Drosophila melanogaster: one gene and its partner. The protein of the gene in region 1 purifies or fractionates together with the protein of each later gene. This does not show direct contact. Each region holds a gene or a part of one and is shown on either strand. Other genes may lie near its edges.

Region 1 (3,866 bases):
AAGTGAAATGCGCTGTAAACAAACATAAAAGTTTAATTGCTGGTTCTTGGCCAGTTTGGGATTGCGTGATGTGTAAATATTTCCATTTGTCTCACCCTTTATTACTTTTTAAGTAACTCGAGTCACAAAGGCAAAAAGTGCGCCAATTAATAATGGAAACGATTATATCTTTCGTTTTTTGTACACTTGTCGCCTCGCCTCAATTGCTGGCTATGTGGTGTTTTACTTGGATAACGATAACGAGTTCGATCTGGTACGATTTTGATCAGGAATGACACTCTTTCTCCCGCTAATAGAAAATTATTTGTTTACAATTCCTGTGCGCCAGTGTGGGTGTTTAATTCTAATTGAAATGTATTCCCAGTTTGAATTTAAATTTGAACTGAAACGGCGCCGGTCAGTTCAAAAAGAGTTCAAATCGCAATAAATTGATAAATGTAAAATGTATGTACATATCTAGTATGTAGTGGCAAAAAGAAAGGGGGTCTCCAAATATTCAGCAGGTACTTCCCCCCAAGCGGAAAGTCACCAAATCGACGCCCATTTTTCTAAAGGTCAGTGAGTTAGCTAGGCAGATATGCACTTAAGCATGAAGCGTGTTGCATTAATTAAATATGCCCGCCATGTCGTTAACTAACAGTCTCATGTAAATCTTGGCCATTCAACTACCTCAGCCGACGAAAAGCAGTTAAAAGCAGTTCGGCAAATGCGTCTCGGTGTTTAGGCCCGAAACGATCCCATCCCATGCCATTCCAATTCCATTCCATTCCAAATCCCCATCCCCATCCATATCCAAAGCAAATCCAGCTAACTCTGTTCCTCGGATGCAAGTGGCCGAAGACGTCACAAAACTGGTCGAGCCCCTCGTCCGCCAAGTGGTTCTTTCGGACTTTGGTCCGGTTGGGTGGGTATCAAATCACATCACATCAGATCCGAACGGTTTTTCAAACATTACAAGACAATCTTCACACGTGCTGGCTGCGTGCTGTCGAAACTGAAAATACGCAATACCAATAAAAAGAATTTTGGATTCGATTCCGGCATTACACAAGATCAAGCACCCCTCCTCCGTCCTCCCTCTATCCATCGTATGGGAATTGGAGAAAGCGTAGTAGTCAATTAATTTACTAATGAGAGTGGGCGTTGACATTGCTAAAACACTTGTTTATAAAAACAGCACAGAAAAGAACATTTTCCTTTTCACCAAGGAACCCAATATATATGTTTAAATTTTTTGCAATCCAAAAAAGCTTAAATGAAAATGAATTTCTTACTTTCAATAGTTTTTTCCAATATATAGTTGTCTAACAATAAATTGCTCCATTTCTTTCTGTGTATTAATATTTTCAATTATCGAATGTCTCAATTAGTTGCTGGCCTTAATTCTGGCTTTGCGAAGTCATCGCACTTCCGTCATTGCAATTCAATATTCACCATATATATGTAGTAAAACTTTCTTAATATTTCAAATTGCGGGCCTTGTTCGATAGCGTTGCCACTCTGGTTTTGCTGAGCTGCATAGGCATCGATAATATTTGTAAGCAAAGTATCGATTATTTTCAGATACTTTTGTCCATCTCTAATTTACCATACTTTTATTTAGGAAATATTTACAAGGAATAAATACAAAGATTTGCTTATTACCCGTGGATTATAAGTTAAAACCACGATGAGTGCAGCCACCGCCGCCGCCGCCGCTTCTGGGATCCAGAGCACAGCGGGCGCCATTCCCATGCGCAATGAGAAAGGTAAACAGCGAAGCTCGATCCTCACCAGAAATTGTTTATAAGCTGCATATCTCTTCAATAGGTGAATTGTCCATGCAAAAGGTGAAGGTGCAGCGATACATATCCGGTAAGCGACCCGACTACGCCCGTGCGGACTCCAGTTCGGAGGAGAGCGACGACGATGACTTCATTGACACCAGGAAGCGCCTTGAGCGCCACAAGGCGGAACGGCATAAGCTGGAGCTCTCCCGTCAAGGCGGCAGCGCGGAGGGCGAAGAGCGGGCGGCGGGTGAGGGCCAGGAGGAGGACGATGCCGAGGTGGACGATCCACGCCTCCGAAGATTGCGGCAGCGACCCGTAGACATGGAGGACATGGAACGTGAGCGGAGGGAACGCCACCGACACATCCACGAACCGGAAATCATGGAGAGTGACAGCGAAGACGAGGAGGAAGACGAGGGAGCACAGGGAGCGATTCAGCGGGGCACCAATAAGATCACACTGGCATCCGAATCCGACACGGATGCGGAGCTCAGCGACACAGAGCTGGAGAACCGGCGCACCAAGCTGAGATCCCGCATGCTGCAGCAGCAGCGCGAGGAGGAGGTTCTACAGAAAGAGGATGAGAAACAGTCGGAATCGTCCGAATCAGAAAGCTCCGAGTACGAGGAGGAGACCGAAAGCGAGGAGGACAACGAACCCCGCCTGAAGCCGCTCTTCGTCCGAAAGAGAGATCGTGCCACCATCCAGGAGAAGGAGCGAGAGGCTCAGAAGCAGAAGCAGCTGGAGGCGGAGGCCAAGCGGGCAGCCAAGGAGCGCAGAAGAGCCACCCTGCGAATGGTCGAGGAGAGCGTCAAGAAAGATCTGGAGAAGACCAAGCCGGAGACCAATGAGGCCTGCATCGAGGACGTGTGCACGGACGACGAAAACGACGAGGTGGAATACGAGGCCTGGAAGCTGCGTGAACTCAAGCGAATGAAGCGGGATCGCGAGGAACGTGATAAGTAAGTGAACATCAAACTGCTCTTAGAATTCCTTTTTAACAATTCTTTCCCTTTTCTTTCAGCGTCGAACGCGAGAAGCTGGACATTGATCGCATGCGCAACATGACCGAAGAGGAGCGACGCCAGGAGCTGCGCCAGAACCCCAAGGTGGTCACCAACAAGGCCACCAAGGGCAAGTACAAGTTCCTGCAGAAGTACTATCATCGTGGTGCCTTCTACCTGGATGAGGAGAACGACGTCCTCAAGCGCGACTTCGCCCAGGCCACGCTGGAGGATCACTTCGATAAGACCATTCTGCCCAAGGTGATGCAGGTGAAGAACTTCGGCCGCTGCGGCCGCACCAAGTACACTCATTTAGTGGACCAGGACACCACCAAGTTCGACTCGCCCTGGTACGCCGAGTCATCCAGCAACATCAAGTTCCACAACGAACACGCCGGCGGCATGAGGCAGCAGTTTGACAAGCCCACCGGCTCGAAGCGAAAAAAGATGGAGTAGTGTTAGACGTATGTAATTGATGTATTTGACAGGCATTAGGAAAGTAACAAGTAAATATTGTGCGGCCACAGTTATGATGGAACCAAAACTTCATATACAAACAATTATATATAATACAAATATCATAAGTTTAAGGTATGAACGAGATTTCGTCTGGGACTTCGATGTGTGATGTACAATTTTGGAATAATGGCTAACGAATGATAACAAAAAGCGGAGAACACACAAAAAAAAAAACTATAACGTTTAAAGTTTGAGCGTGTGCTCCTGTAGCATTTCAATGTTGTGTTGAACGAGCGCCTGCATAACAGCCTCGGTTTTGATGAAGTGCACCTTTTCATAGTTGTTCAGACGTCGCTTAGATTTCGTATCCTTGCTGGTGGTGACCACGTACAGATCCACGCTGATGGCCAGCGAAGGCGGTTGGGCATGAACCTTGCCGCCGGCGCTGTGAATGATGACTGTGGGAGATTACCGATTAGCCACTAGTTGGAATAAGATTTCTAGTTAGGCTTGCCTTTCATTTCGTTGGCCTTTGGCACTATGTCTTTGCCGAGCATAAAGTGCAAGCCATACAGCAAGCGAGGGTGTTCCAGTACGGAGGAGGGTTTGAACTTGTAGGTCTCCTCGAACGTTG
Region 2 (3,277 bases), on another chromosome or scaffold:
CGTGGTGCCGAATCTTCGCCAGTCTCCACATCGGCCACCAAAGCCTCCGTATCAGAGCGAGGCATACTGCCGTTCCGTTCCGTTCCTACTTGCTCGCTATCGAGAACGGAACTCGTGGATGCGTCTGGCTTACACCAGTCTACCGGAGATAATGGAATTTACAATTCATTCACCAGAACGCTGCGCAGTTCCCTGAAAGTCTTCCAAACGCGACGGAGAGTTTTCAGATACTAAAGCTTCAGCTGCTTTACTGCTGATTAACGTGGATTTATTGTTGCTTAAATCCCTGGTACGTGTATTATTTTCACAAGTACAGCTGGCTGGATTCTCCCGCAGTTAACGTTACTCTATTCGAAACTTTCTAAATGCAAGCAGCAACAGCTGATTGACTTCTTCTTCTTCTGTGTTATTGTTTTGATTTCGATTTTCGATTCTTAGTGCTAGGGATGCCAACTTGCGGCGAATTGAGAGTTTGTGGTTTAAATTTTCTGACACTTTTTACTGGTTAATTAATTCAATTTATTTATAATTTTAGTAGCGTCGTCGGTCACGCTCTCCTCGCGAGTCCCGTTCCCGCTGGTCGTGACGGCCACGGTCACGTTCTCGCTCTCGTTCCCTATCCCGGCGATCTCTGTCGCCGTCCCTCTCGCGCTCCCTGATACTGTCGCGATCTTGGCGCTCTCGTTCGCGATCGTGGCGTCCATTGTTTTGCCGACGGTCATAGTCCTCGTTGTGGGTGTCCCGATTGCGCACCCTATTTCGCTGGCGGTCGTAGTCTTCCAGTTCGTCGTAGTAATCCCGGGAACGGGCGCTGTTGCCCTGCCCAGATCTTCGCTCGCGCTCCCGACTGCGGGACCTTGACTTGGAGCGAACTCTCCGTGGTCGTCTCACTGCTGTCGAATTCTCCTTAGGCCGGTTGGTCTCGTCTGCCTTCTCCTCGTCGCTGGGCAGTTCGTCGTCCAAGTCCTCATCCAGCACTGACACCTTGGGCTCGATTTCGTTGTTTTCCTCGAGAATGGAGCGCTTCTGGATGCGGGGCAGTATAATGTCGCAGACACGGTCGTTGCGCAGCAGTTCGTCAATGTACTCATCCATGTAGACAATCTCGAACTGGCCGGCGCGATTCTGGCGGCGCAGCTTTCGATTGTCTATGTACAACGGCTCCAGGTACTTGTAGCAGTCCAGGGCAGCTCCTGTGAGCCGTAGATAGAAGGCTCCCAATGCTCGAACGTACTTGAACTCCTCGTTCTTGATAAACTCCACTACGATGTCCTTTTCCGGCTGAATCTGCAGCATCTTGAGTGTGAGGCAGAGGAACTGGGTGGGCTTGATGTTGCCGCCGTAGACGCCTCCGACGAATCGCAGCTCCATTGCCTTGTCCACCAGAAGCTCCGCAGTGAGAGCAAAGCATTGCTCCTTCCAGTACTTAGAGTCGTATATCCTCGAACGGATGATCTTCTCGATGAGGTACTGCGGATTGGTGCCGTGCACGTTTTTGGCCTCCTTCACCGTGCGGTTGGCCATTTTCAGTTGAACCCTTGTTCCTTGTCAATCGTAACTCAAATAGGACTTTTCAATCCAGAAATTCGGGTATCTATTGGCAGCAGTGCAAAATGTGAAAATGCACCGAATATATTTATTTATTTTTCGGCGTTTGCTAACCAGAGTGGCCAGCTGCGTAAGGGAGAAATATGCCACTCCGCCAAGCGCATACACAAAGGCGATAACGATAGGGGACGGCAATCGGTATCGGGTGACGCATACGAACAACAGCTCCCAGACAACCAAGAAACGCAATAGCAGAAAAAAACTCACTTGTTCGCTAAATTCGGGTGAAAAAACAGATCAGCCAGGATGAGTTTCTTCGGGAAGATGTTCGGCGGCAAGAAGGAAGTGGCCCCCACCACCGGCGAGGCGATACAGAAGCTGCGCGAGACGGAGAACATGCTTATCAAAAAGCAGGAGTTCCTGGAGGCCAAGATCGAGGACGAACTGAATATAGCCCGCAAGAATGCGTCTAAAAACAAAAGAGGTATGAGAGGAGTGCGCCGAGGTCCTTGGCTTCCTAGTTGGTCACTCAAATGGGCCAAGGGGAAATGACTCATTGCTTTGTTTTTGTTGCGGCCGCGAGGCCTGCTCCCAGTTAATCAGTATCCCATACTGCCAGCAAATAGAAAACTCAATAAACAATATGTATCTCTTTGCCTTTTCACCCGCATACCATTCGATGCCTGGACGTGTCCGCAAATCGCTCAGAACGTAATATAAACATTACTTTTAATACCCAAAACAAACTCAAGCCATGCAGTAGAGTAATTTCAAAGCACGCATTGCGAATTGGCCAAATCATATTTCGGATATATACATAAGCCAGTCCTCGAAACCTTCTAATTCCTCCACTTCTCACATTTTCAGTGGCCCTGCAAGCACTCAAGAAAAAGAAGCGGCTGGAGAAGCAACTCCAGCAGATCGATGGCACCCTGTCCACAATCGAAATGCAGCGCGAGGCTCTGGAGAGCGCCAACACAAACACTGCCGTCTTGACCACGATGAAGAATGCCGCGGATGCCCTCAAGAGAGCCCATCAGAATATGTGAGTCATGGATTTGTGCCATTGTATCAACCAGGAACTAACTTTCACTTTTATGCAGGGACGTGGACAAGGTGCACGACATGATGGATGACATTGCCGAGCAGCAGGACGTGGCCCGCGAGATTTCCGATGCCATTTCGAACCCAGTGGCATTCGGCGCCGATCTGGATGATGAGGATCTCGAGCGGGAACTCGACGAGCTGGAGCAGGAGAACTTTGATAAGGAAATCATTGGCATACCCGAGCCGACGCCCACATTGCCAGAAGCACCCACAGAAGATTTGCCCGAGAAGGCCAAAGAAAAGAAAAAGGCGACAACCACGACTGCCGTGGAGGATGATGGTGAGTTCAGTCACTGCATGTGGATCTACGTTTGGTAATTAACGATTAACTTGCGTTACAGATGATCCAGACATGAAGCAGCTTTTATCCTGGTCCAACTAAATCAGAGAGCTATTGAAATCTCCTTACTGTTCTGAAGATACACCCTATCGTTTTTGTTTAATTTAATAATCAATACTGCTGTTAATTAAGCAAAATTTTAGTTCGAAGCGAGGGAGAGAATACAAGGCATTAATTCCTTTGGCAATTCAACAAATGGTACATAAACTAGGAATGTGATTTTAAAATAAACGAAATAAGCATAGTCAGGCCTCACATGAGCAAAAGTAGGTATCAACGTAG

What was found. The genes of interacting proteins can lie anywhere in the genome.
Region 2: the proteins of Mfap1 (region 1) and Prp38 purify together in Drosophila melanogaster (affinity purification with mass spectrometry; 2 studies listed by BioGRID, with this or other methods). This does not show direct contact.

Annotation. Positions count from the first base shown.
Region 1 is NT_037436.4:1,939,507-1,943,372, forward strand, and holds Mfap1 (Microfibril-associated protein 1), read left to right. Parts: upstream 1-1,561; 5' UTR 1,562-1,669; coding exon 1,670-1,748; intron 1,749-1,809; coding exon 1,810-2,731; intron 2,732-2,793; coding exon 2,794-3,229; 3' UTR 3,230-3,366; downstream 3,367-3,866. Other genes in the region: mu2 (mutator 2), read right to left, coding at 3,476-3,690, 3,747-3,866. UniProt on the Drosophila melanogaster protein: Required for pre-mRNA splicing.
Region 2 is NT_033778.4:9,142,375-9,145,651, reverse strand, and holds Prp38 (pre-mRNA processing factor 38), read right to left. Parts: upstream 1,697-3,277; 5' UTR 1,525-1,696; coding exon 532-1,524; 3' UTR 501-531; downstream 1-500. Other genes in the region: CG30344 (uncharacterized protein), read right to left, coding at 1-65; shrb (shrub), read left to right, coding at 1,855-2,032, 2,416-2,593, 2,652-2,935, 2,997-3,037. UniProt on the Drosophila melanogaster protein: Required for pre-mRNA splicing.